7 linked regions of the Coturnix japonica genome follow. The protein of the gene in region 4 interacts with the protein of the main gene of each other region in a biochemical or structural test. Links are inferred from orthologs where the notes say so. Each region holds a gene or a part of one and is shown on either strand. Other genes may lie near its edges. The genes, in order: EVI5, ARHGEF16, NET1, DLG1, MTMR1, SLC16A3 and FRMPD4.

Evidence for each region.
Region 1: the proteins of DLG1 (region 4) and EVI5 interact in a test that uses a peptide from one of them, tested with the Homo sapiens proteins (2 studies listed by IntAct, with this or other methods). The link is inferred for Coturnix japonica from reciprocal best matches to the Homo sapiens genes DLG1 and EVI5.
Region 2: the proteins of DLG1 (region 4) and ARHGEF16 interact in a test that uses a peptide from one of them, tested with the Homo sapiens proteins (2 studies listed by IntAct, with this or other methods). The link is inferred for Coturnix japonica from reciprocal best matches to the Homo sapiens genes DLG1 and ARHGEF16.
Region 3: the proteins of DLG1 (region 4) and NET1 form a complex in vitro, tested with the Homo sapiens proteins (3 studies listed by BioGRID and IntAct, with this or other methods). The link is inferred for Coturnix japonica from reciprocal best matches to the Homo sapiens genes DLG1 and NET1.
Region 5: the proteins of DLG1 (region 4) and MTMR1 interact in a test that uses a peptide from one of them, tested with the Homo sapiens proteins (2 studies listed by IntAct, with this or other methods). The link is inferred for Coturnix japonica from reciprocal best matches to the Homo sapiens genes DLG1 and MTMR1.
Region 6: the proteins of DLG1 (region 4) and SLC16A3 interact in a test that uses a peptide from one of them, tested with the Homo sapiens proteins (2 studies listed by IntAct, with this or other methods). The link is inferred for Coturnix japonica from reciprocal best matches to the Homo sapiens genes DLG1 and SLC16A3.
Region 7: the proteins of DLG1 (region 4) and FRMPD4 interact in a test that uses a peptide from one of them, tested with the Homo sapiens proteins (2 studies listed by IntAct, with this or other methods). The link is inferred for Coturnix japonica from reciprocal best matches to the Homo sapiens genes DLG1 and FRMPD4.

What each region holds. Positions count from the first base shown.
Region 1 is NC_029523.1:12,241,728-12,245,645, forward strand, and holds the end of EVI5 (ecotropic viral integration site 5 protein homolog), read left to right. Parts: intron 1-2,151; coding exon 2,152-2,457; 3' UTR 2,458-3,418; downstream 3,419-3,918. UniProt on the Homo sapiens protein: Functions as a regulator of cell cycle progression by stabilizing the FBXO5 protein and promoting cyclin-A accumulation during interphase. May play a role in cytokinesis.
Region 2 is NC_029536.1:866,203-870,408, forward strand, and holds the start of ARHGEF16 (rho guanine nucleotide exchange factor 16), read right to left. Parts: upstream 2,801-4,206; 5' UTR 2,770-2,800; coding exon 2,461-2,769; intron 1,755-2,460; coding exon 1,224-1,754; intron 758-1,223; coding exon 706-757; intron 432-705; coding exon 262-431; intron 1-261. UniProt on the Homo sapiens protein: Guanyl-nucleotide exchange factor of the RHOG GTPase stimulating the exchange of RHOG-associated GDP for GTP. May play a role in chemotactic cell migration by mediating the activation of RAC1 by EPHA2.
Region 3 is NC_029516.1:1,180,296-1,184,333, forward strand, and holds the start of NET1 (neuroepithelial cell-transforming gene 1 protein), read right to left. Parts: upstream 2,801-4,038; 5' UTR 2,734-2,800; coding exon 2,633-2,733; intron 1-2,632. UniProt on the Homo sapiens protein: Acts as a guanine nucleotide exchange factor (GEF) for RhoA GTPase. May be involved in activation of the SAPK/JNK pathway Stimulates genotoxic stress-induced RHOB activity in breast cancer cells leading to their cell death.
Region 4 is NC_029524.1:10,829,498-10,833,580, reverse strand, and holds the start of DLG1 (disks large homolog 1), read left to right. Parts: upstream 1-1,283; 5' UTR 1,284-1,566; coding exon 1,567-1,585; intron 1,586-1,657; exon of another isoform or gene 1,658-1,694; coding exon 1,695-1,826; intron 1,827-4,083. UniProt on the Homo sapiens protein: Essential multidomain scaffolding protein required for normal development. Recruits channels, receptors and signaling molecules to discrete plasma membrane domains in polarized cells.
Region 5 is NC_029519.1:16,417,385-16,420,884, forward strand, and holds part of MTMR1 (myotubularin-related protein 1), read right to left. Parts: intron 2,406-3,500; coding exon 2,292-2,405; intron 1,435-2,291; coding exon 1,258-1,434; intron 1-1,257. UniProt on the Homo sapiens protein: Lipid phosphatase that specifically dephosphorylates the D-3 position of phosphatidylinositol 3-phosphate, generating phosphatidylinositol. Could also dephosphorylate phosphatidylinositol 3,5-bisphosphate to produce phosphatidylinositol 5-phosphate.
Region 6 is NC_029533.1:4,252,907-4,256,402, forward strand, and holds part of SLC16A3 (monocarboxylate transporter 4), read right to left. Parts: intron 3,488-3,496; exon of another isoform or gene 3,257-3,487; intron 2,852-3,256; 5' UTR 2,831-2,851; coding exon 2,608-2,830; intron 2,240-2,607; coding exon 2,096-2,239; intron 1,814-2,095; coding exon 1,046-1,813; intron 238-1,045; coding exon 1-237. UniProt on the Homo sapiens protein: Proton-dependent transporter of monocarboxylates such as L-lactate and pyruvate. Plays a predominant role in L-lactate efflux from highly glycolytic cells.
Region 7 is NC_029516.1:111,279,105-111,282,604, forward strand, and holds part of FRMPD4 (FERM and PDZ domain-containing protein 4), read right to left. Parts: intron 1,897-3,500; coding exon 1,758-1,896; intron 1,217-1,757; coding exon 161-1,216; intron 1-160. UniProt on the Homo sapiens protein: Positive regulator of dendritic spine morphogenesis and density. Required for the maintenance of excitatory synaptic transmission. Binds phosphatidylinositol 4,5-bisphosphate.

The sequences.
Region 1 (3,918 bases), on a different chromosome or scaffold from region 4:
GGTCTGAGTAACAGATGGAGTAAGAACAGTCCCATAATGTGCTGGTTGTGCCTTTGTCCATACACTGTACTGTGCTGTTAACCTTGCTCACTGCTTGGAGATATTGCTCTCTCCAAGCCTATCGTGTATCAGGACTCCCCACATCATCAGTTAGTTTTGTCCTCGTAATACAAATTCTGTGATACAGTGTTTTTGTATTTCACTGTGCACCTCATTTCTCAAGTGGACAAATGTTGCAGGACTATATGACCATGCATGGTCTTGTCACACATTCTCTCCAGTATGTTCATGTTTCTTCCTAGCAATCTAATTCCTTTTGAACGTGAGTAGTTAAAAAAGAAGGCAGGCAAGTGTGAAGCTGCAGGCTAAAAGAAGTGTTTCTTGAAGGCAACAGATTGTTGTCCTTTTGTTACTTTAATGAAAGAATAACCTGTTAGTTTTCCCACACTCTTTAGGATTTTGCATAGCCAATGTTATCACTTTCTCCTTATCGACAGCCTTTTTCTTAGGCTTATACTTGGTGTTTGGAAAAGCTGCTGCTTGAGACTGCCAAGCCATGATTTTTGTCATGTTTCCTAAATGTGCTCATCCAAAGGTATCACATGCTGAAGCTTTCAGGAAAACATTCGAGGTCACCAGCTTAGCTCTTAGCTCAGCTGACACTGAGTATCACCTTTACAGTTCAGATGAACTGATGGTGTAAGTGTGCAGACATGGAAGCGTTCATTTCTTTCACACTGACATGTGAAATCTGCTCTTTTGAGCCTTTGGTCATGCTGGACAGGAGCTGTAGGGCTGTTCTGTTTTTTCGGGGTAAGTTTTTTTTTAGTGAATAAAACTGATTGGTGTTCTGGAAATACCATGTGGCAGCTGATTGTATTGCAAGATATTTTTAGGGACGATATTTCTAACTAATGCAAGAATCTCTGTATCCAGGTATGTAAAGTAGTAACTTGCTTGTTCCTGACAATCGTTGCTGTCTGATACACATGATATAAGGAGATCCCTCATCATGAGCTGTGCAGTGTGAAACTTGTTTCGCTTGTCTTTAAAGCAAGTTCCTCATGAAACAGCAGCAAATTAAGTGTAAGAACATGCCAATACTAGTTAGTATGTATAGCTGCATCCACGTTGTAGGTCTACAGCATGAACCTGTGTTCCTAAGAGGAACATTATAATAAACATTGAAGTGATCGGATACATGGAGCTTTTACATGCTGACTACATTTGATCTGCGGTTTCTAGAATGCTTGCGGTTCTTGCAATCTTTTATCCAAACATTTTTGTTTGTATCTCTTACATAAGCCCAAGGTGAATATAGAAATTCCTTCTTCCCCAAATGGATGGGTAAAATCTGTTACTGATATAAACAGCAAGAACCTACATTGTTATTTATCAAGCTGAATAGTGCTTCAAATTTCTGAAACATGGAATAGGTTTGTGACGTAAGTAGCTCCCCAGGTTTTTTCTCTCTACTTTCCAGATCTGGTACTGTTAAGATTTGCTTACAAAACAGCACTTAATGCATCTTCCTTTTGAAGCTGACAGGAGTGACGTTAGGAACTTCCTGTAATGCATTTCAGTGTCTTTCTCATTCCTTAGAATTCTTAGCATAGTACTTCCCAGTTGTCAGACTGAGTCTGAGGAAATTGTTACTAAAAGGTAGGACGAGTTTATTTCTAAAGAATAACTATCAGGGGGAGTCTTCAGGGAGCTGTGGCTGTTCTGACTTAATGAACAGGAGAATTGCTACAGCTTCAGGTTTTACAAAGCACTGTCCAAATGAGTTGTCCATTCTAGAAAACCAGCAGTCCCCCATTCTCATGGGGGTGCTAAAGATGCAGTGTGTAGCATCGAGAAATCTGTCATTTGTGATTCTAGGTACCTTGATTATTAAGCTTTAAAACTGGAGAGGTCTGGGTGTGTGAGAATAGTTAAAGTATTCCTTCAAGTTCTCTGGACAGCCAGAAATGAGAAGTCCTTTGGTTCTGCTTCCAAAAGTGACTAGGAAATATCGTGATTCTAACATCTAATATAATTTGTTGAGGAGAGATTATTGGAAATGGTGAGTGGTCTGTTTTGATTTTGATGCTGGACTCTTCAGCTCCGATTAGTTTAAATCCCACTTGTTTGTTTGTTTCCTTGTAACAGATCAAATGCTTAAAAGGACAGAGAGACTTCTCAGACCAACCCACTTTTGATGGGATTCACATTGTCAACCATTTCACAGGAGATGACGAGTCATTTCATTCTTCTGATGAAGATTTTATAGCTAACTCCATACAGGAGAGTGGGGTAGGCTTTCACTTACACAGGAGGACTGGTCAGATGGCTTTGGATCACACAGTTGTAGACAGCAGTGACAGTGAGACTGAAGAAAGCACACTCCAGACTGGAACCTTGGACAAGGTGGTTTCCAAACAGAGGAGAATGGAATCTTACTCTACTACCGTGTGATGATCACTGTGAGTAGCGCCTGAAGACTCTTGTGTTTCTTTAAGGATTACGTTGTCAGATAATTGAAGGCATCCAGCAGTTGGGTTAGGTAACTATTGGATCTGTTGTGGCCTGTGATGCATACACACATGTACTGTCCATCTGCCTTCTCTTTGCCAAATCTTGCTAGTGACGTACCATTGCTGTGAAACAGGCTGGGAAGAAGTTAATGGAAGACAGTTCTGACAGTATTACTGAATGTTCCTTGTTTTACAAACTGCAAATATATAATTTCTTTAAATGTGCAAGAAACCTTTTTGCTGTTCACAAGGATGGGAATTATTTTCCTCAAAAGAAATCGCTCTAGTGCAATATTTTATGCTCTGAACAAATGTGTATGTTTTACATCATTACCCATTTGTGATAAAGATGGACTCTAACCATCTGATCATATGGCACATATATATATTATGCTTCTCAACTACTTCTGTTTTATTAAAGTTACCAAATGCCCACAGAAGGCTTGAAAGAGGAGCCCTCATCTATACTACTTCCTATATACAAGTACTGGTCACTAATGTCATAAAGGTGTTTTTCACCCTTTTCACTTTAGATTTATGTGCATCTGCTTTTGATGTTGCTAAATAATACTTGGTCTGAATATATTAACTACAATAATGTTTATTTTGTACATATTTATATAACTGCACCAAGCTGAAAATGTATATTATACCATTTTATACGAGGAATGTAAATGTTGCGATATGACTGTCTCATGTTCTCCCTGGAAAATGAATTCTGTACATGCACACTAGAGATGAATTGCTGAATAAAAGCAAAACACTAACTTGATATTTAGTTTTGGTCTAGCTACGCTAACAGATTCCTGTCTAACTGAAATGCTTGTTCAAAACACTATTGACTGAAATCTTCTACCTTCATATATATGTAATGAAAATAAATTTTTCACAATTTAACAAGGTTGCAGCTTTTACTGTCCAGTCACTTGTGAGCTACAGCCCTCAGTTACCCCCTGGTAGTTTGAATAAGGTGAAAATGATTTGTGTATTCCAGCTAACAATTCTAATGAAGGCATCGGTGCAGTGAAAGTATCTCAGTTAAATTTTCTTGCAGTTCTGTATCGCTGTTATCTGAGAATTAGTACAGATCCTGTCACCAGAATAGCCATCGTTAGCACGTTTTGAGAGAGGGCGAATAATGGAGGATAACGCAGATCTCCTGGGCCAGTCCTGGGGGCTAAAAACCACCAGCACCGAGCTGTAATAACGAGGTTAGTGCAGACTGTGTGGAAATCCCAGTGTCTGGTTTAACTGCACCAGCTACTGAGTGTGTGTGTGTGTGTGTTGAGATGGAACGGAAGAGTTATGTATGGTGGATTTCTGGATTTAACTGTTCTGTTTTGTTCTATAAAATACTCTTAACAGTATAATTACGTTGATTAAATTCTCTGGGGATTTTTTT
Region 2 (4,206 bases), on a different chromosome or scaffold from region 4:
GGAGCCCAGCATGTCCCAGCTGGCCCCAAAGCATCCCACAGCACAGTGCTGCAAGATGGGTGGCATTTCTGCCTTTAAAAACACACGCTGCTTTCTGTTTCCTTTCAATGAGCAAGGCACCTGCGTGTGCCATGAGGGCTACTTGCAAGGATGGATAAGCAAAGGTATAATCATTAACAACACGGAGTTTGCTGCAGGTACAGCCTGGCCCTCTCAGACAGAGCAGAAGAGATAGGAAAGAAGGATGTTGGCACACAGTACCTCTGGGAGCTGGCTCCAGGTGACCTGTGCGGGTCGATAGCTCCGCACCACGATGGCAGCACCGGGCAGGGACGGCTCCTCGGGGAAAGGCTCCTCCAGCAAATCCTCGTCCGACTCATGGCTGACGGAGTTCAGCCCTCGCTCCCGGATTTCCTGGTACAGCCGTGGCTCTGCGTGGGGAGAGGTGCAGAGTGAGCACAGCCTCCTGCAACCCGCCTCGCCCTGCTGGGACGGACTTTGCACAGCACTGGTCAAGCAGCAGCTTGCACGTCCCCAGCAGTGTTTGCTCTGAGCAAACAGAGCCAAATTGCAAGCTACAAGTACGGCTGCGCCCTCCCCAGCAAGCAGGAGTGCAGGGGCACACGTGCAGCAAAGGGACTGGAAAAGGGAGAATACATGACAGCACAGAGGGGGGGCCATGGGGTGAGGACATGCAGCACTCACGGTCCTTGAATGAGCCTCCGTGCTTCTGCACCCGCTTCCGGCCGAGGGATTTCTGCAGGAGGAAGAAGAGGAGCTGCCACTGTGCTGCAGAGCTCACACCATGAGTCCCAGTGCCAGCAGCTGCATTCAGTTCCCTTGAGAAGGGTTGCAGCCTGCACACAGTGCCCTGCTCCCCCAGCAGTGACTCAGCTCCAGCCTAACCCCAGTGTTATCGGGGTGACCATCTCAGCAAGCTTTGCCACTGCTCGCTGCTGTTCCCATCTGTCTGCCCCACACCTGGACTTTGCCTGCCCGGCGCCTGGGTGCTGGCAGTGCTGCTTTGCCCACACCCACGCACTACCCGCAGGAGCCAGCCCATATTCCATACCTTCTGTGGACCTAAGAGGCTGCTGGTGACAGGCAGACTCCCAGGCTTGGCTCACCAGGCTCAGCCAGCCCCACCAGGTGCAGAGCAAAAGATGCAGCTCAGCCCACCCTGTCCCCATCCCCACCAGGCTCCATCCCTGCACCAAACCCACCTTGCTCCTGCCAGGGCTGCGGGCAGGAGGAGCGCTCCCCTCCTCCGCCAATGGTTTCAGTGTGGGGACGGTGCTCACAGGCTCCATCTCCATTCCTGTGCCCTTCATGGCTGCACGGTACGACATGTTCCTCAGGTTGCGTTTTAACATCCCTCCTCCATCCTCCGTGTCCTCCTGCAGTGTGATGCTGGGGACAGATGCTCTCTTCTGCCCTGAGCACGCAGCTTCAGGGCTGGATCCAGTGCTGGGGTTCCGCGTGGGGTTCTTGGTCTTGGTGGAGACCGCCAGGCTCCGTGGGATGAGCTGCTGTGTGCCCACCTTCAGCGCAGCCGGGCTGTCGGTGCTCAGCACGATGCGACGTGGCTCAGCCAGGGGGAAGCAGCCCATGGTGGGGTCAGGATTGCGCTTGCCTGGAGGAGAGGTTGGTGCTGGGGGTCCGGAGCGCAGCGGGTGGCAGCGATACTCCAGGAGGAAGGTCTGGTCATCAGCTGGTGGGCTGTGGGACATGGCAGCGGTGCAGGGAGCGGAGAGCTGTGCAAGAGACAGACAGTCAGATGGATGGACAGGGAATGAGCACTTTCCCCTGCTAAGGCTGAGGGTACAGGCATGGCACAGCTCACAGCGCTGGGTGGGAGCCTGGAGGAGCCCACACTGACCATCACTGTACTGCTGGGGACCCCACACGGCTCTATTGGGCACTGATCCTGACAGACCCCAAAGCCCGGGGGCAGACCGGCCGATGGGTGCTCAGCCTCAGCTCCCTCTGGGTGTCCCCAGAGCCCCTCCAGCTCTCGGCTCCATTGCTCCTTGTTAGGAGCTAAGCTTGCCCACCCCCTTCTGAGCCACACAGCACCCTGAGCCCCCCCTGGATAAACACCACATACATCATTCTGCTGCTCTATTGCATAACTCGAATTAAAACTCGGCTTTAATTACTACAAACTGAGATCCCATTGTCCACCACGTCTGAGCTGCTCCCTTCCAAAGGCCACGGGGAGCAGAGCACAGCCCGGACCGGGACCCATCTCCTGGCACAGGGACAAAGCAGCGCATCGACAAAAGCCCCAATGATCCGGGGCGCTTCTATTTCCCTGCGTTAAGGGCAGGGGGGGGTCAGACGGTTCCTCCTTTCCCCCTCCCTAAACTGCAGACACAGCCCCATCCCCATCAAAGGACCCGGAAGGATTTGAAAAGAGCCCCCCAGGTGCACCCCATGGAGCCCCTCCCCGCCCCATACCTCGGCTGTTTCGCAGCTGCAGGCGGTGCTGGGAACCCCCGACGGATCCACCCCCGTGTGCGGGGCGGACGGAGCTGCGGGACGGGACGGGAATTCCTCCGGGTGGGGCCGGGGGTAAAGGGGCCGCAGGGCTGAGGCTGGAGGGGACCGCTCCGCCCCGAGGGTTAAGGCCGGTCCCGGTTCTGAGCTTAATTTCGGTCCTGCTTCCCCCCCGGGGGTCCCCGTGCCCACCCCGGCCGCAGCCCCGCACCTACCGGGGCCCCGGAGCGAGGGAGGAGAGGGGCTGGGCCATAAAGGGGGCATGGCCATATAGAGGGGGCGGGGTCACCCCACGGAGGGGGCGGGGGCAAGAGCTCAGCTCACCTCCAGCTGTTGTCCCCGTGTCCGTCTGTGTCGGGTCGGGGTGATGATGGACGAGCCGAAAAGAGATGTAAATTCGATTTAAAAAGACATCAGGGTCAGCTGTTCCCTCCCCCCTATTGCTCTTCAAGGCAGCCGAGCAGCCTCGGGTGTGCAGCCGGGCCCAGCCCGTGTTGATGGGAGCTGCCCCGGTGCCCCCCTGGGGCTGGGGGTGTCCCCTGGTGTCCCCTCTATCAGATCTGTGCTATCAAATGTCCTGGGAACCACCTTTCCCCTGACCTCCCCCTTTTGCCCCCGCTCTGATTCTGTTCCCCATTAAAAAGGAGCCTTTTTCTCCCTGCTTTATGGCGGATCTCAAGTGCTCGCTGGATGACAAAGTCCCACTTGTCAGCGGTGCCCTGTAACAGCTCCATCCCCCTCCCCAAACCCTGCCCGACAATCAGCCCATTATCAGCACTCCCTTACCCGATGGATGCTCCTCCAGTTCCAAGAGCCACGAAGCTGCTGCACTCGGCTGAGCCCCAAACCATCCCACGAAGCACTGAATGTGATCCATCCTCCAGCCATCACGCCGACCTCCTGAAGCAGAGAGCATGAAATCAGCTTGGCAGCACACACCATTGGCCCCAAAGCCCCGCTGTGCTCAGCCCCATCCTTCCTTACCTTGCAGCAAAGCATCCACCGATCTCACGCCGAAACAAAGCTCACGGGACCACGGCTTATAAAAGCACACAGGTTTATTGCATATCAATCTCATGTATAAATTCATCGTAGCATTGGAAAGATTACATTTGGTATACATTCCTATTCTACAGCATTAACCTCAAAATCAGCTTTTTCCTAGGCATTATTTCAAAGGAATTTCTCTACACGAGTACGTTTTGTCTTTTTATCACAAGCATCAAAAGGAACTCTGCAAAAAAAAACCCAAAAAAACAAACCTCTTCAAATTATTTTCTACACTTTGCCTCTCGTTTCATTGCGCGCCCAACAAAACCATTTCATCTCCATTAAGAACTGCCAACGTTTTCCTTTCTGTCCATCTTTCGGGGCAGTTGGAGGCTTCTGGCCTCGGATTCAACCATCTACTCACATATACAATAAGTGCATCTACGGGATTTGTTTCTCTTTTCATAAAAATCTCACAGACAGACACCATAATGACCGCTAAACACAAGTCATGCACCGTTTACTTATAAACATAACAGAAGCAATATACAATCAAGAATGATATGGAACAAGCACCATCCTCTTTTCTCAATGTTTTTTAAACATTATGTGAAAACCAGACATTTACAATTGATTTTTTTTTCCTTAAAAAAAAAACAAACCCCAAAACAACACTATACAGCCCTAAAGGAAAAAACCCAACTCCATTATATCCGT
Region 3 (4,038 bases), on a different chromosome or scaffold from region 4:
TAAATGAAGAAAAACAGAATGGGCTCCCTCTGTATGGGGAGAGACTGCAAAGATGGCTCTAGCTATCTGAAAAGAAGTAGAGAAAGCAAGAAACCAAATATATTGTATGCACACAGCAGAATGGAAAGAGGCACAGCAAGGAAAAATCCCATTAGATATAAAGAAAAATGCTTTTGCGCAATACATGTGGTCAAACCTTCAAATATAGAGGCAATGAGATTTGTCTTTGGATGATTCTGATCTCACCTGGCCAATGCTCTGAGCAATTTGAGCTAAGTCTGTAGTTTTAAGGGCTGGGACTGGAGACCAACAAGCTCCAGTTTGATCATCAAGACAATATTGCAGCATGTTTCTATGTAAATATGTATTTTAAGGCTCATTGAAACATCCCACCTTATGAAACACTCAACAGTTACAAAAAGCCATTATCAAAACCAACATTGTAACACCACCATTCACTGCAGTCCTGTCCACAAAGAACCAGAGCAGTGAGGAAAAGATCCAGATCACAGGTCCATAGACCCTGAACCTGTATCTATTTGAACCCAAATCTGCTTTTTACAGCACCTGCAAAGTTGGAGGAGTCATTTCCTGACCCTGAGGGCAATAATAAATACAAACCTGAGCCGATCAAACAGGGTTTGTCCTGATAAAAGTCAACGGGAGTTGAGTCACTCGGGTCAACTAGTGCCAATAAACACATCCATGTATCAGGGGTCAACACAGATAAGATCATCCACGGGTTAACTTAAGACATAACGTCTTGTTTCACAGGGCTGTCTCAAGAAAGGTCTCACAAGTCCAAGCACATCAAAATAATAGATGGTATACAGAGGGATTTAAAAACGAGAGTAAAAGCCAAGGCTGACACTGGATCTCTTCCATACTTAACAGAGTTGATCTAGTGTTATGACTGGAGGAGATCCTGGAAGCTTGGCTGAGCTGGTGATGGCAGAGGGAGATTAAGCCCAGCCCAATTCAACCCACAGAGCAGCCCCAAACTCTATTTAACCACACATTACACCCAGCCAGAACCTTGTAGAATACAGAACCTAAAATGGGTGACAAAGAGGTACAGGGAAACAGTGTGAAAAGAGAAATCAATCCCCACATTGCACCAACAACCACCCTGAGGAGCAAAGACCCTCTATTTCTTCTCCGAGCCAAATAGGGACTGCAAGCATCTCACACTTGCACAGAAACCAGTTGGAGACCTGAAATGGGACCAAATATCCCTATTACGGGACAGAAACAGGCAGGAAAACATGTGATAGCCTGAGAAACACCCCCCTCCCATACACATAGCATACAATATAACACTGGGGCACCCTATGAGCATTAAAGACACTCAGGAACCACAGACACATCCACCTTATAAAGCAGGGAAGCATAGAGCAACGCACCCACTTTATATGGTGTGAGGGGTCCCGTAAAGCCATTAGACACAAGGGAGCTGCCCCCGTCAGACACAAGGGAGCTGCCCCCCATTAGACACAAGGGAGCTGCCCCCCATTAGACACAAGGGAGCTGCCCCCCAGTCGACACAAGGGAGCTGCCCCCCAGTCGACACAAGGGAGCTGCCCCCCAGTCGACACAAGGGAGCTGCCCCCGTCAGACACAAGGGAGCTGCCCCCGTCAGACACAAGGGAGCTGCCCCCGTCAGACACAAGGGAGCTGCCCCCCGTCAGACACAAGGGAGCTGCCCCCCGTCAGACACGAAGGAAGCTGCCGCCCCGTTCAGACACAAGGCGAGCTGCCGCCCCGTCAGACACCAAGGGAGCTTGCCCCCCGGTCAGGACAAAGGAGCTGCCCCCCGTCAGACAGCGAAGGGAGCTGGCCCCCCGTCAGGACACAAGGGAGCTGCCGCCCCGTCCAGACACAGAGGAGCTGCCCCCCGTCAGACCACAAGGGAGCTGCCCCCCGTCAGACACAAGGGAGCTGCCCGAGGCGCCCCGTCAGGACACAAGGGAGCTGCCCCCCGGTCAGACACAAGGGGAGCTGCCCCCCGAGGAAGCTTGCCCCCCGTCGCAGACACAGGAGCTATGCCCCCCCGTCAGACACAAGGGAGCTGCCCCCCGTCAGACACAAGGGAGCTGCCCCCATCAGACACAAGGGAGCTGCCCCCATCAGACACAAGGGAGCTGCCCCCATCAGACACAAGGGAGCTGCCCCCATCAGACACAAGGGAGCTGCCCCCCGTCAGACACAAGGGAGCTGCCCCCCGTCAGACACAAGGGAGCTGCCCCCATTAGACACAAGGGAGCTGCCCCCATTAGACACAAGGGAGCTGCCCCCCTTAGACACAAGGGAGCTCCCCCCCCATTAGACACAAGGGAGCTCCCCCCATTAGACTCAAGGGAACTGCCCCATTAGACAGAAGGGAACTCCCCCCATTAGACACAAGGGAGCTCCCCCCATTAGACACAAGGGAGCTCCCCCCATTAGACACAAGGGTGAAGGGCCCCTTTAAGGATGTTTAAAGCACCATAAAGGCTGAGGAAAAAAGGGGAAACGTCCCCTTTATATGCCAGGAAGACGGGAATAGATCCCCTCCTCACTATATACACACATAAAGGGAGAACCACAGGCCTCAGCCCCTGACAGAAAGACGGGGAGACACGGCGGCTCCTACCGGCTGCTGTCCGCCGGGGGCGAGCGGCTGGCGCTTGTTCCAGCACTAACCCTCCCTCTTTTCCGCCGAGGGGGCTTCTGAGCCACGGGCTCGGCTTCCATGGTGAAGAATCAGGCTGAGGAACGGGGGGGGAAACCGGACGGCACCGCACAAAATGGCGGCGGCGAAAAACAACTGAGGCGGCGAACCGGCGGTTTGAAAATGGCGGCGGTGAGGGGAGGCAGCCAATCAGAGAGGAGGGTGGGGTGAGTTGCTAGGAGACGAGCGAGGGGGGGAGGAGTGTCGCCGCCGTTGACCACAGCGCCCCCTTGTGTCCTGCTGCTGTAACTGCAGGCTTGGAGGACCTAGGAATGGGGGAAACTGAGGCACGGAAGCCATTTTTCCTCCAACCCCTTCATCTTCCTCAATTCTCATCTTTTCTCCTCAGAAAACTCATATCCAACACCTCAAGGCCTCGAGGAGGGTAGCAATGTCAACCCCAACGCCTCACGGCCTCGAGGAGGGTAGCAATGTCAACCCCCAAAGCCTGAAATCACCTGATGAATAGAGGAAAAACACGTGTCCCTCTTGAAGCTTGAAAATGCACCTCTAAGAAGTGGGCTGGAATATTAAAAATACGCCTCAGAAATAGGCTTGTGTGTTAAAAATATACCCCAGACTGCCTCAAAATGGACACAGAAGTGGTTTAAATGTGGGATGTACCCCAGCAAGAGTGAGATCTGCGGCCTTATGGTGAAGCCTGCAGTGTCCCAGCGTGAAGCTGATGTGTAAACTGTTTTAAATGGGGTCTTAAATTGTGATGGTGATGGAAAAAAGCAGATGTCTTGGCTACAAACCCCCATAGATTCTGCCTTGGGAAAGCTATTATGCACCTGTGAGCTCCCACCAGCCCCAATTCAACTTAAGTGGTGTTTTGAGCAAGGTGCTTGAATGGGAAAGTGTGTCCTCCTTGGGTGAAATCTCATTTTTTCCTCCATTTTCAGCCCTTTCCCTCTGTGAAAAGTGGCTGTTAATAGGGAGGAAGAGTCTGTCCTGGAGTAGCAACCCCAAAGGGTCCCCGAAGAGACAGAGAGGTAATGGTTTATCTTCACTTAAAAACTGGAATGATCTCCTTTGGAATGCCTTTGGACCAGAAAATTTTGGCCAAGAAATCTCCCTTTAACAATGCTGGCACCCCAGAATACTGTGCTGGAACCACCTTTTGCAGTTTATCATCTTTATTCCAGGTGCAGGTTGGTCTCAACTTCTGTGCAGCTGTTAGACAAAATGCTTTGAAACCCATTAAAAACCCCACATACGTGCCAGGTATTGGCTGTTTTTTAGTCAGGAATCAGAAATGGATTCTTCAGGAGTACTAAAATACAAACCCAAACTTTTGAAGTGGGATCTGCAACTTGATTCAGAAG
Region 4 (4,083 bases):
CCCTTACTGCAGTGTATTGGTGAAAGGGCTGTTTGCATTCATAGGGTATTTTCTATACGTGCTGGAATTTCCAAACCATATTCTAAAGTTTCATACCATGAGCTCTGGTTCAACCACTCGGAATCAACAAATATCCCCTGGAACTGAAATAGCAGCACTAGGACCAGCCCCAATTGGAAGTGCATTAGGGCCCACCTAATTGCTTCCTGACTCACTGATCCTTCATCCTGACCCTTCTTTGATCTTTATTTTTTCCTTTTTCTGGTGCATGAGTGACAAGTGAGAAACGCCATCTGAGGGTGTTAGATGGGATTATTCCTCTATCCCCACAATGACCTTGCGTTATGGGATTCCATCTTAACACTGAAAAAGCATTCAAGTCCTGATTAAGAAGAACTTATTCAGTTCATTTAATTGCAAGTGTTTATTCATTTTTCGCTCTGTAATAAATGTTTTTGTCAGACAACAAACCAACCTCACTGCGTGGATATCTCCTTTCTGCTGGCTCAATCTGGGCTGCTCTTCTCCTCATGTACATGTACAACTCTGACACCACGGGGAATATGGACACTTTTAAAGTACGTTCAGTGTTGTTGTAAACACATGAAGCCAATGTCCATCCTCACTTAATATGGTCTCATTATAAGATATGTGGACTTGTACCAGAGAGTGCCAGATCCCTGATGCTACGGGAATTGGTAAAGTTCCCATAAATTGGTAAAACACACTGAATGCACGTTGTTTTCTTCACAGATCTACACGGGCTCTTCCATGGCAGAAAGCTGAGGGATGAACGGGGCTGGATCAGAGCAGAGCTCTGTGCTGGGTCCGTTTCCTTTAGGCGTGTTCCACAGCCGAACTCAGCGCTGGTTTTTGACTATCAAACCCACGTCCATTCCCAGGAGGTTCTTCCCTTCCACGGGGATGTTCCCAAGCCGAGTCTGTATCCGAAAAACCAACAGGAGATGCAGCCTGGGATGGGGAACGGCAGCAGCGGGATGGGCTCTGACTCCCAGCTCTGCCTGCGGGACACGCGATGTGCACGTGGGCTTTGAAGTGCTTTAGACATAGAAATAAGTGCATAGACATAGTGAGCAATAAGTTCATAGACATAGTGAGCAATAGGTGCTATGGACACAGTGAGCACTAAGCGCTATGGACACACTGAACCTCTCACCTTGCCTCCTCCCCCCGCCCCTCCGTTAGGTACCGGCCCCGGGCCGCTCCGTGCGCTGATTGGGCGGCAGCCGGGCCCGGTCACGTGGGAGAGGGGGGGTGCTCTCCCCCCAGCCTCCAGGCCGCCATTTTGGCTGGAAAGTTTGGAATTCCCGAGCGCTGAGCCGGGCGGTGGTTGTGCTGCTGCTGCTGGTTGTGGTGGCGGCTCGCCCTGCCCTGCCCGGCTACTATCAGCCGCCCCACCGCTGGTCCCGACCCGTCCCTCTCCTCGCTGAGCCGCCCCGGAGGGTCGCTGTGCGGGGCGGTCCCCCCCGCTCCCGGCCGGCAGGGGGTGCGCGCCGCCGCCGCCCCGAGCCGGGTCGGGCTCCAAGTTGAGGCGGCGGAGCGGCCATGCCCGTCAGGAAACAAGGTGAGCGGGGTCCCGGACAAAGGAGCCGCGTGGGGCGGTCCCGGGGGGTGGTCGTGGGGCACCGTGTCCCACCTGTGTAGTGCTCACAGAGTCTCGTGTTCGGCCGTAGATACGCAGCGCGCCCTGCGCCTCCTGCAGGAGTATCGCTCCAAACTGAGCCAGGCGGAGGATCGGCAGCTGCGGAACTCCATCGAGAGGGTCATCGGCATCTTCCAGAGCAACCTCTTCCAGGCGCTGATCGGTGAGCGATGCCCCTCCTCTAGGGTCGGGCTCTTGTGTGTTGGTGGTGAGGGGAAGCGAGTTGTTGTGTTGTCGGAGCCCTCGTGTCCCTCAGTGCTGTGTGTGTATCACGCTGACACGTTGCTGTTGCAATGAGCTGTTTTCTGTCACTTACTTTGTATGAGTTTTCTGCCCTGGCGCTGCAACGTGTCTGTTGTGGGCTGTGCCGTGCAGTCGGGTTTTCCACGTCTGTTTCTGTGGGTTTAAACAATTTATTAGGAATATGTTTTAGTTGTGAGCCCACGTGTCCACAATGAGTGAGCTGAAGTGGTTTTACTCTTAGAACTCGGGCAAATCTCCCTGCTGAAGGATCCCTAAAAATGCTGCAAGTTGTGTATTTCAGGAGCAGAATTAAAGTGAATGGAAGGAAACTTCTCATGTTGCAGGTGGCTGTGCTGACTTTTTCCTCTTCGGTTGTGAAGTGCAGTGAGAACCTCACTCATTCCCAGCTTCAGAGCACTTCTGGTGCTTTTTCTCTTTAGCCATTAATGTAAATATTGCTGAAATCATTCCGTGAAGCCTTGAATTTCCTGCACATCTCTTAGAAAACAAACAGAGCAAAATAAACACGTGGGGTATGAGCACAACTTGCAGAATCCTGACCTGACTTTGCAGCTTCTCCAGGGAGGCAGGGAGCTGTGGTTTCTTCCTGATTGGTTGTCACTGCGTATGTAACAGCTTGGAGTTTCATGCCCTTCCCTTTTAACAAAGTAACTTGCACATAAACTTTGTTTTAACATTGTAGACAGTCTGGGTTTCAGCTGTTACTTCGCAGTTACATGGTTTGAAGCCTATCTCACAAGTTTACATCTTCATAGTGCTGTGTCTTTGTGTTGTGGTGGAAACATGAGGAGGGTTGAAACATCGCTGCACATGAACTGCTTTCTCTTGGAGCATTTGTATCATCTGCAGGTGGGTTTTCAGAAGTTGGGCATCTTATGGAACATCTCCTGTATTATGTTCCTGATAGATGGTTGTTCAAATGGGTCTGTTCTCATAGGACACCTCTAGAAAGGGTTCACTTGCAGGAGCTCAGTTGATGCTCAGCAGCTCCGTGATGAGGATCTGCGCGCCTCTGTGTGATGTGTGTGAACAGACTTTGTTCTTTGCTGAATGAAATCATTGAAGTTGTGTATCGGAAGCTTAATACTGTGGTTATGCTTCTTATTTTCACCTGGGAAATCTCGCTCTTAGTTATTAATTGAATGAGATACAAGTCAGTAGTACGGAAATGGCCTTTGGTATTGTAACCTGTAAGACACACTTTATTCTAAAATCTGTAACAAGAGCCAGGTTGTCTGTGTAACTTAGCTCTTGGCAGTAGCACTCTTCAATTGGGGTTGCCACGTGCCTGCTGGAGGGCTTCATGCCTTGTTTTCTGATCTGTCAGAAGTTCTGTTGTAGCCGTGGGGTCTTTGATTCTGTCCGGTTCAGTTGATCTCAGCGTGCACAAATAGGTGTTGTGCTATTTGAGAGCATTTCACATTCATTTTGCATTTAGTGGTTAACTGTGTGATTGTATGTTAAGGAGCGTGCTTTAGTGCTCCAAGCTGTTCCTCTGAAATGTGATAGCAGAGAGTCACTTCCCAGCAATTGATGCTGTAACTTCAGTATTCTTCCTTTAACCTGCTCCATGGAAATGAGTTGGAGAAGTACTTGCTCATGGCAGGCTGCTCCTGGCAACATCTTTATACACTGGGACTACTGCTTGGTGCCCCCTGGGAGGGGGTCAGCTCCCTGCAGGGAGTAGGGGGCTGCCAGGAAAAGGTGCTGTGAGAGATGGCTGTGTTGGCTGAGAAGCCCTTGAGCACTAACTGCCCTCCTCCTACCTGTCCTCTTGCAGTGGAGGCTTGTGAACAGGCTGGACAAAGCTGTGCTGCTGGTTGGGCTTCCCTTGAATATTGCACTTGTAATTATCTTGTAGCTGATTTTTCAGGTGTGACTTTTATAGGAATTGTGCTGTGTCTCCAACTTAAACATCCACAGCTGCACTGACAGAAGCTTCCGTCCAAGCTCACATACTTTCCTTTAATTCCTTCAACAGATTTTAGTTCAGAAATCTTGCAAAATTGACCTGTTTCTTACATACAACAGTCTGCTTTAAAATGACTTGAATTAGGGCAGTGGCGACTCGGTGTGAGCAGTGTTACAAAATTGACGTTATCACATCAGTGTTATTTCTGTAAGTGAAATAACTGCAGTAATTTTAAGTCAGTAAC
Region 5 (3,500 bases), on a different chromosome or scaffold from region 4:
TAAGTAAAAACCCAGAAGGAAAAACAAAAAACCACCTATGCCTCCTCCCAGTCAATGAATTCAAATACAACAGGACTGAAATCTAATTTTCTTAGGACAAGAAGTCAATAATGATGTAACACCGCCAAACCAAAACCGAGGAACATTTCACTTCACTTAAGAATTAGAATGACCTTGTTGAAGCAGAGTTTAGCATAAAAAGGAATCCACAGAACCCACCCACATTTAACCTCAGATTTTCTGGATACCTAACAAAGGACTACATCAAGAAAACAGAGTAAAATGTGGGGCAACAGGGAAGTTCAGAGGAAATACCTCAGTGAGCAAGCAAGCAACCCACATTTCTCCAGTACCTTACAGGGTATTGCTCAGATGCTTGGATCTCTAACAGCGTACTGTCCTTGAAACACATCTTTTTAAACAGGCTCTGACTTGTGGGTGTCTAATAAATCTGAAACTCGTGTCTCTTGCTAACTGTTAGAAGATGAAAGCAGCTTTCAAACAGTCACTCAATGCAGGTAATTTATCATTAAGTCGCTTGGGGATACCTTGAAATGTTACCTTAATAAAGAGACAGAGTAACATCCTCAGATATATCACGGCTGTGAAACAAACATAACGTACACTCTCAGAATTCTGAAGATAAAACACAGCATTTTTCTGATGAGACTTAGAGATTTGTCTGAATAGGAGACATTACTTATAAGAACAAATCCTGGATGAATCCAGGAACACACTACAGGAGCGTTTAATCTTTAGCATGCCAGCCTGAAAACAGAAAGGTCAGTGAAAAAACAAATATCTGTAAGAAAGCTTAAAGAGTCCGCAAATGAGTTGGTATGTAGACAATTCCTTTAAGAAACTGCTGTTGTGTTTTATAACATAATTGCTGAGCAGCAAAACATAATCAAAGCTACACTAAACTGCACAAGAAGGTTAATGCAACAGATGCACTGGAAGTGTTGTAAAATATTACATAAGTGTTGTAAAAGTAATCTTCTGAAAGGAAAGAATGCCTATGTCACCTTTCACAATTCAGTAAAGGGATACTACTACTATATTCCACTGGTGGGCTTAATGAATACTGAACATCTTGCACTGTTTTAATATCTATCTCAAGCCTTGTTTTAGAAAAAACATCTTTCTTCCCCCCATCAGCAACAGACAAGAATACTTTTCCTGGATGAATTGGACCTTATAGAAAACAGTAATTATACCTCTGTACTTTCAGGGAAACATAAAAGTAGAACCTCGTACCTGAGGCCGCATCCTTGGGTTCCATCTGACGTAGTAGCTGACCCACAGTTCCAAATGGTTCAGACTGGCAACAGGATACAGGACGTGGTTCTCATAGTTGACATAGAAAGGATTTGTGAATTCATCTAACTGGCTGTTTATGTAGGACCACAGCGATACAGTCCTGGTGCTTAACTCCTGAATTAAAAAAAATACAGAAAAATAAGTACATGGATTGCAAAATGTTGAAACGTGAGGTTATTATCTAGCTATCAGTATCATTGTGAAAGTCACCTGACTGTAATTACACTGTCCTGTATTAGCTGACTGTAATTACACCTGCTGATGACTAAACCGGCTTAAAACTCCAGCAAAACATTGAAACCTTGTTCCCTTCCAAGGCTAAATGAGAAGGGAGATTCAGGTATAACATTTTCAAAGACACCGAGTTCTAGTTGAGGAAGAGAAAGCTGTCTTGGTTGTAACTTACTGCAACGTCTGTAGCTCCTTAAATCTACAATTATATGTTGACCACTTCAAAACGATTTAAAAATAAGTTAGCCTTGAAAAGAAAAATCAAGGTTTCAAAACGTGAATCTCAATTACATTCATCTTGTGATTTTACACCCCTACAATGAGGTTAAGCATGTGCTTCTGCTACCTCTATGTCTCAAAACTGCATTTCTTTATTGAGAACTGCATACGACTAATTTATTAAGAAAGATGTTGGGAAAGCCTGCATTTGCTGAGAATATGTTATTCAGCTCCACCTTGTGGTGTCTGTGTGCAACTTTTTCCTCTACGGAAGCAGAGACAAACCTGAAATAAACAGATCTAACTGCCAAGGTGTTGCTACTGGCTCTAACGCAAACGTGAAGTGCCACAAACAAAAAAGCATTCATGATGTATTCCATGGAATTACATGTCCGTCATGCCCTCAAAGACTACACAGCAGTTGTATCCAAAAACACAGCTTAAGTTTTTTTGGGCCGTATGTCCTAAGCACTTCCACACAAAGCCAACAAATTAGGATGCGTATGTCATCAATCATTTACCTCTTTTAGCCTTTCCTTTTCACAGTTGCATAAGAAAGTCCCAAACAGACAGCTATAAAGGTGATCCAGAATGGTGATCAAAAATAACTCGTTGAATTCAAAGGCTGCAGGAAACTTAAATAAAAACAACAAAAAAGGTAAAAAGATTTTAAGCTGTATTTTAAGCAGCAGGAAAGGAAGAAACAAATAAGAAATAGCCAAAACACTTAGATAAGATTTTTTTTCCCCTCTTATTTAGTGATTATTTTCAGGAAAAGTAAGAGGTTTCCTTAACTTCCATTGCAATAATACACTTCACCTACATGCTTCTTCATAGTCTTCTGAGACAAACCTTACATTCATCATGCAAGTACACAGGGTTGCAAGCACAGAAATGTTAGCTAGTGTGAAACTGGTGACACAAAGCAATTCATTGTGAGGAGCCCTATCTAACAGAATAAGCTTTATTCCTCTATGATGCTTAAGAGCTTCAGTTCTAACATGCAGTGAGGTGGATAATAAACACAGATATATTTTAAATGTTTCTTATACTTTTTACCCAAGTTATGCCATTTTTCTTCATCTCACCCCTTAAGTTTAGCATTGGCTACATACAGTGATCTTTTAATCCCTCTTCTTTCTATATTAGAAAGTAAATTCTGGATATCCACACTGAAAGAAGCGTTATTCCTCTGATACCACCACACATTACATTCAAAAGCAGAGGTTACCTGACGCACTCTAGAATAAACACATGGAAAATCTGAAAGCACACAGATTACTCAGAATGCATCTTAATCCGTAGTACTTCAAAAATCAGATGGGAAGAAATCAATATAGAAGTGTATGGGCTGCTATCTATTCAGATGGAAAACGTCCTTCAATCATATTCATGATAGGACTACATATGGCAACTGCTTCATGTGTCAAAATAACTTTTCCATCAGAATGAGAAGGTTTAAAACACAGATACGGAATGATGAACATTTAAGAGAATAAACAAACTTTAATGACTCGAAGAAAATGTTATAAGCAGCATTTCCCCCCTTGCCATGAGAACGAGCATCTTAGGAGACACATTTTTAGGACAAATGAAAACATTTCTTCATTTCCACCAAAGGAGTGAATATCTGCAGAAGTCTAGAATGTAATACTGCAGATTTACCACCAGGAATTTCCTCCTCTATGTAAAATTCTCAAGTCAGAATTTCATAGAATCATAGAATCACA
Region 6 (3,496 bases), on a different chromosome or scaffold from region 4:
CATCTTTTAGGAACTGCTCCACCTCAATAGAGTCCACCTTGGCATCCTCGGGAGTTTTGTCTTCCGATTTGTTTAATTCTTCTCTTTCTGCTGCTGCTTCTTTTGTGTGTGGTTCTTCTGTTTTTTTCTTAATGCAGAAGAAATTTCCCAAGGCCAATACCAGCGCTGAGGTGGTAACTTCAATTCCAGCAATAATAAAGACAAACATGTACCTCCGTGTTAGATCCAAGAGCTTTCCTGAAAAAGACAATAGTGCAGGTAAATAAGTTTACAACAAGGTATTTCCATGATTCCACTTCAGCTTAGCACTGACTGAAAGTGCTTCACATCCTAGAACACATCCACACCTGCACACACTGACAGCTCAACTGAAGAAAAAGCATTCCCTTCAGATGCAAGAGATGAGGCAACTGCTGCGTACTTCAACCCGTAGGGTTGTTTGTTGGGTTTCTTTGGTGCAGCCCGTTAGATTTATGCACTTTGTGAATGAAATTGCCCTTATGAATTCAGGAATTTGAATGTTTTGCAGTGTTGCCATGCTTTGGGGTTACAAGACGTGTGCAGTGCAATCAGTCTGCCTTCCCTGGAACAATCCTGATGCTTTAAAGCCCTTCTTGTTTTTTTCCCCTCCTCTTCTGAATTTTTCTTTCATCCTTCAAACCTACCACAGGTACAGAGAATCTGTCCTACTCCCTTCAAAATAAAACTGATGGGATTCATTCTGAACTCCAGCTCCAAAGAGGTCTGAATTTGATCACATTTCCTGTGCATGGAAACCCACACGATGCCATTTAACAGGATATGCACTTCAGGCTTTCACTGCAAAAAGAGCAGCACCTCCAAATGGCAGCTCAACCAGTCCTTGGAAACAGATACAAGAAGGACAAAACATCCTTCCCTGTTTGGGGCTATTTCTTGTTCTAACTGCACAAAGTCGTGTAAATACGTACAACACAAGGACAGCGTGTACACTGTGAGTGAGTTGTGCTCTTTTCCTCCCTGCAATGTCAATGGGTTTGAATTCTCAACTACGTGGAATACTGACCTGCTGATGGTGGACCGATGAGAACTGCCATTGCTTCTGCCAGGAGCACCAAGCCGATAGCACTGGAAAACTTCTGAGTGCCAACAATAGCCATGAGAACTTCAAACTGAAGAGCACCTACCATTCCATAAGAAATGCCAAAGAAAATGCAGAAGACCACCAGGCCACTGTAATCAACAGACATGGAGCCCATGAGATCTGTAAAGCCATTAAAAATCATAGCAAAACTGAAGAGGTAGACACAGCGCGGTCTAACCCACTTGAGACCAGCTACCATTCCACAAATTGGACGAGCAAAGATATCAATAAATCCCAGAATCGTCAGAAGAAAAGCTGCTTTGGTGTCATGATTCCCTAAATCCTTGGCATAACTCACAACAAAAACTGGGGGAACGAAGAGGCCAAGCACCATGATAGATGCCGCTAGCGTGTAGATCACAAAACCACCATCTTTAAACACGCTGAAATCCAGGAGTTTTTTCTTTGCCTTCTTCTCAGAAGATTCTTTGGTAGCTTCAGATTTTTTGGGTGGCTCCAGAGGTCTCATTAATGCTCCACAAACACAACAGTTGAGCAGCATCCCACCCAGTATAAGGAATCCTCCTCTCCAGCCATACTCGTGTTGTAGTATCTGCCCCAGCGGTGAAAGGGCGCAAAGGAACACTGGGCTCCCAGCAGCAGACAACCCGTTGGCCAAGGGTCGGCGTTTGTCAAAGTAACGGTTTAACATGATGAGCGAAGGCTGAAAGTTGAGTGCCAGACCCAAACCTGCGACAGAAGGGACAAGAAGTTAATCCAGGCCTCCCGTAGTGCTATTAAAAAAAAGAAAGAATCAATTGCATTTGTTCTGATTGATGACTTAAGATTAGTTTTACTGCAGATGGACAGAAGAGTTCCATGGTAACAGGTGTAAGAGAACACCATTTTATCCACTATCTTAATAAAAACCTGTTAAGATGATCATGATCGTTGAGATACATTGGTAGTATGAAACATCAGCCTGCTGCCAGGACATAGGCTGAGCCCGTTCCAGCCACGTGTGCTGCTTACCGGTGATCACCCCTGCGGTGAGGTAGATCTGAACGATGCTCGTGCAGAAGGAGGCTATCACCATCCCCATGGAGGCAAAAAGGCCACCTACCAGCATGACCGGGCGACAGCCAAAGCGATTGACGCACACGCTACAGAGCGGACCTAGGCAAAGAGAGTAAGTTACAGTTGCAAAGCTAAACCAGTTTTTACCAATGGTTTCATGTTAGCTCACATTTCTTTCCACACTCTGCCTATGCTATCAGGACAATGTTCTTTCTTCTGGAGTCAGATATTCCATTCCTTTGTACTACCATGCACTTTTTCATCATCGTTAGCATCTACTGAGTTACAGAGGTTTAATTTTATATGCAAATTGTATGTACTTAATTAATTATTGGATTTACGTGCATAAACGATTATTTTTTGAATGCTTTACTAGTACAAGAGCAATAATAAGAACCATAATTCACACTAAATGTCAGTATGATTTACAGGCAACACTGTATGATGTTCAAAACCAATCAACCAACCTGTTCCATAAAGCATGGCCAACAGAATGGAGGAGATCCACGCGGTGTCACTGTATCCAATGCCAAATTCCCGGATGAGTTCTTTGAAAAAGACACTGACCGCCTTTGGAAAGGCATAGGAGAATCCCGTGATGATAAAACAGCCAAAAAGGACAGCCCAGCCCCAGCCTCCATCGGGAGCTTTAACACCAGACGGACCATCATCAACTACCACTGCTCCCATGATGCAGATCAAGAGGGTTCCCTAAGAAATAAGAAAAATGAGTTGTTACCTGTTGGGACAATTATCTATCCCAAAAAGGCAGAACGTTGCTACAGCTGAAGTTACAGACTATTTTAGAAGGAAACATCTAGTTTTTGTTACAAGACATTGGTAGAGGAAGATCTTGGTCTACTCAAGACACCTGGATGTGAAATCCTGGTACATGGATCACAAGTCCTGGCCCAAACAAGCATAAAAGCTTAGGTGTATCCAATTTGATCATTAAAGTGCAATTGATTAGGGTGTTTGTTACTACAGAATGCTTTGGGAACTGCAGGTCACCAGGAACAAAGCCATTTTACAGCTTTATTTCAGGACCAGCCTGGTTGGCACAGGCTTCTTGTGTAGAAAAGTGAGCACTGAATGTATGACTGTTAATAGCCTTACCTGAGTGCAGGTGAATGGCACCACAGGTGGCCGACGTGCTGACAGCCATAGCAATATAATGAGATGCACTATCACAAGTTTGGGGCTGGTAGATCAAAGCCTGAAGGTCTGTAACACAGTGACCTGTTCCCGTTTCAGGATGGTTTGTTCTCCCTTATGACGGTGGATGGGCTGGGACCGAGCATTGCCCGCTACGTGCGGTGCTGCCAGTCCGCCCGGCAGGGAGCGCATCGCCCGCCG
Region 7 (3,500 bases), on a different chromosome or scaffold from region 4:
AGCTTAATAACATTAACAGCAGTTCCATTACACAATATGGAATATGATGTATGGAAAATGATGGCCAAAAAAAAAAAAAAAAAAAAAAGGAAAACCAAAATGGAGTATTGGATGAGATGGAATGATTTTCAATGAATAAACGTAACTATCGTGAAAGAACCTGAATTGTCACTCGTCTGCTGTTCCTCTGAAGCAGCCAAAGCTTCTAGTGCTTGAAGAGTAGAGACTACAGCATCATCTAGCCCCTTCTCACACTTCCCCTCTGTATTAGTAGGGACAGCATCGATAAGCGACACTGGAATGTCATCACTGCCTAGATTACTGGCTTGCTCCTTGTCGTCTCTAGGCTGTGTTGCTTGATTCTGAGAGTCTTCCTCATCTGAACTGTCCCTGAAGCCAGGTGGAGGAGCAGCAATGGCCATGTTTAAGGTATGCAATAGGAAATCGTCTTCATTATCATCACCTTCTGGAGGTGGAAGTGAAGTCAAATCAATAATGTCATCATTAGAACCAGAAAGGCTGAGAAGAGCAGGCCTATTGATTTCTCCTACCATAATGTCTTCTTCACAGCTTACTTCATCTTCATCTTCGGCATCATCCGTGTTTTCTGCATAACAAATATCATGCAGCAAAGGCTCTTCTATCCCTTCTGCAGCTCCAAATATTTTACCATCACTTATGGTTGCGTAAACAGCATTTGTAGCAAACTGAATGCTTTCAGCATCTGGTGACAACTCCAGACCTTTAATGTCATTGGCATTATTAATATAAATGGCTCTTTGTTTTTCTAGTACTTCTGGACTTTCATCCAAAAGCCTTTCATAGCCAAGAGTCTGGGGATTGATACCATCCAAGTTGTGATCTCCAAATATAAAGGAAACTTTTGCTCCCCTAGGAGAATCCTGTGCTTTCTTGCTAGATTCCAAACCTGAGAGTGACAGTAGCGAAGGCTGATTAAAATTTCTACTTTCTTCTGTGTCAGTGGGGTCTTGCTTGGTCAGATGCTGATCAAATCCACCTGAATTATAGGTATTTTCTATGTACAGATGTCTGTGTTCTTTTTGACATAACAGACTTTCAGAAACATCTATAGCCTTCTGTTTAGGATCACCAAAAGACATTTGAGTCTCTTGATCTTCAGCCAGGAAAGTGGTAGTTTTTGGTACACAGTTCCACTCAGAAGCAAGGAGGTTATGCTTCCCTCTATTTTCAATTCCTGACACATGGGAGAAAAAAAAACCCAACAATTAGTTAAACAATAACTTGCTAATACTGAGCAATGAACATTCTGAACAGGACAGCTAGGCCATCAAACACTTCACAAAAGTGTTCTGAAGCTTGCTTTTGCTCTGAGATAAATAGCTGTTGATTTAATGACCCAAAGTTTAACTATTACTTTTGTAACTTAGAGCAAAACTAAACCACAGCTAGGTACAGATGCTATTCCAGGAGCAGGAACACAAAACCAAATTCGCAGCTGGTTTCCCCAACACCAGGTGTATTCTTATAAAGATATACGTATGCAACACAATAATGTTCATAGGTAGCATGCATCTGTTTCACTACACTTATGAAAGAAATTCATGCTATCAAAGGCTGAGTATCAGAACATCATAAAGCTGAACGAGTACGCTGTGGTGCCAGGTCTAAGGCAGCAACCCTCTCATTTGGCATTTGTATTTATCTGGAGTGTACTGGCTTAAGCTGACTTCTGCTCTACATCTGTGATCATCATTATCACACTGCGCAATGAATACCTGTTTCTCGGTTCCCTGCATTTTTCTTGTTGGCCATGTTGAATATGGAGCGCCTTGAGTCAACCAGCAGTCTATAGTATCCAGCTGTTAAGCAAGCAAGGTTCATTGCATCTGATGACTCCATCAGTAGCGTAATAGGCTGAGAAGAATACAACCAAGTCTTGGTTAAGGCTGTTCCTTCTCAATCTGTTTACCCGCCGACTATATTACTGCACAGAATTAAAGGAAATTACACTGCAAATACCACACTGAAAAATACACAATAATTTATTTTCCTCACTACTAACATCATGCAATACCAAATATTTTAAGGGAGGAACTTATAAAAGTAGATAAATATTCAAAAGGAGGGTGAAAAGAAGACAGAGCCAAGCTCTTTTCAGTAGTACCCAGCGAAGACAAGAGGCAACAGGCAGAAACTGGAACAGAGGAGGTTCCCTCTGAAGAGCAGGCAGCACTTCGTGTGGGTGATGAAGCAGTGGCACAGGATGTCCAGAGGTTGTGCAAATAAAAGACAGATCTCTAAGAACTGTCTTTTATTTGTTTTCCTTTTGCCACAGTAAAGAAAATAAACTTTTGTTTACATTTCTGGAGACTTTAAAACCAAACTCATTCTGAGGTGTCTATCTCCCTGAACTCACAGAGGAAATAGGAATTGCAACATCCTATCCATGACACACAGGTAGAAGTTACACAGCAGACAAACCATTACAGCAGTGACACAGTTCATACAGCTGTATGGACTTTTGTAACCTGAAGGCAACTGACTGTGATGGAGGAAATGGCCAAAACATAATTTATGTTCACAGCTTACCACCAGTCTCAAAACCGCTGTATGAACAGTTTTCAGCAACAAGGAAAAAACAATGCATTTTGTTTTCTTTAAATTATTCTATGCTACAGTATGAGGTTCTATTCAATGCATGCGTCTTTCAAAAGAATTCAAATACAGCTGTAAAATTACTTGCAAATTACTAAACCTACAGCAGGCTACTTAATATTTTTCCTTTTGGGTGACTACTTGAAATGTTACGAGTATCAATCTCATTTTTTTCTGCAATGATTGACAGAAACAGACAATCTCCAAAGAAGCCTCAGATTGCTGAAAACAGTGTCGTGCATTGCTGTTAATCTGAAGAACAGCCTTGTGACAGTTAGTTAGATTTTTACTGGCTGCTTCTCCCAAGTGATTTGTGGTTGAGAAGACATTACAAGGAATCAAAAATAAAAGAACATAACTGCATGTTTGCTATGAAAATGACATTTATTGGTATACTGGAATCTGGATATATGAAACTGATAGCTTAGCATATGCTAAGGTACGAAAACATCAGTTGAGAGTAGCTGTGTGTGCCCACATTTACTCAAGAAGAAACTGTTACATTCCATACTACTTCCCCACACTCTTTTGTTTTGTTTTGTCATATCAATCCATGGCCTCCTAACTTTGTAATTTTGATGTTAAACGAATGTCTCTGGGTTTAAGACCACATGCGTTGAAAGGCAAGGACATGGGGATTTAGATGGGGATATCCATGGTTTGCAATAAGACAACAACAGTATTATAATATATATATATAAAGTCATGTTAATATAAAATTCCATGGCATATAGTACCACATTTTATATGCAAGAAGATGGGAATAATTTAATTTCTGCATTACTTTCTCCATCAGAAAGACAGGATAACAGCTTTTACTCAAAAGGTCTGCAGGCTATGGGTTTAGCACAATATTACAAGCA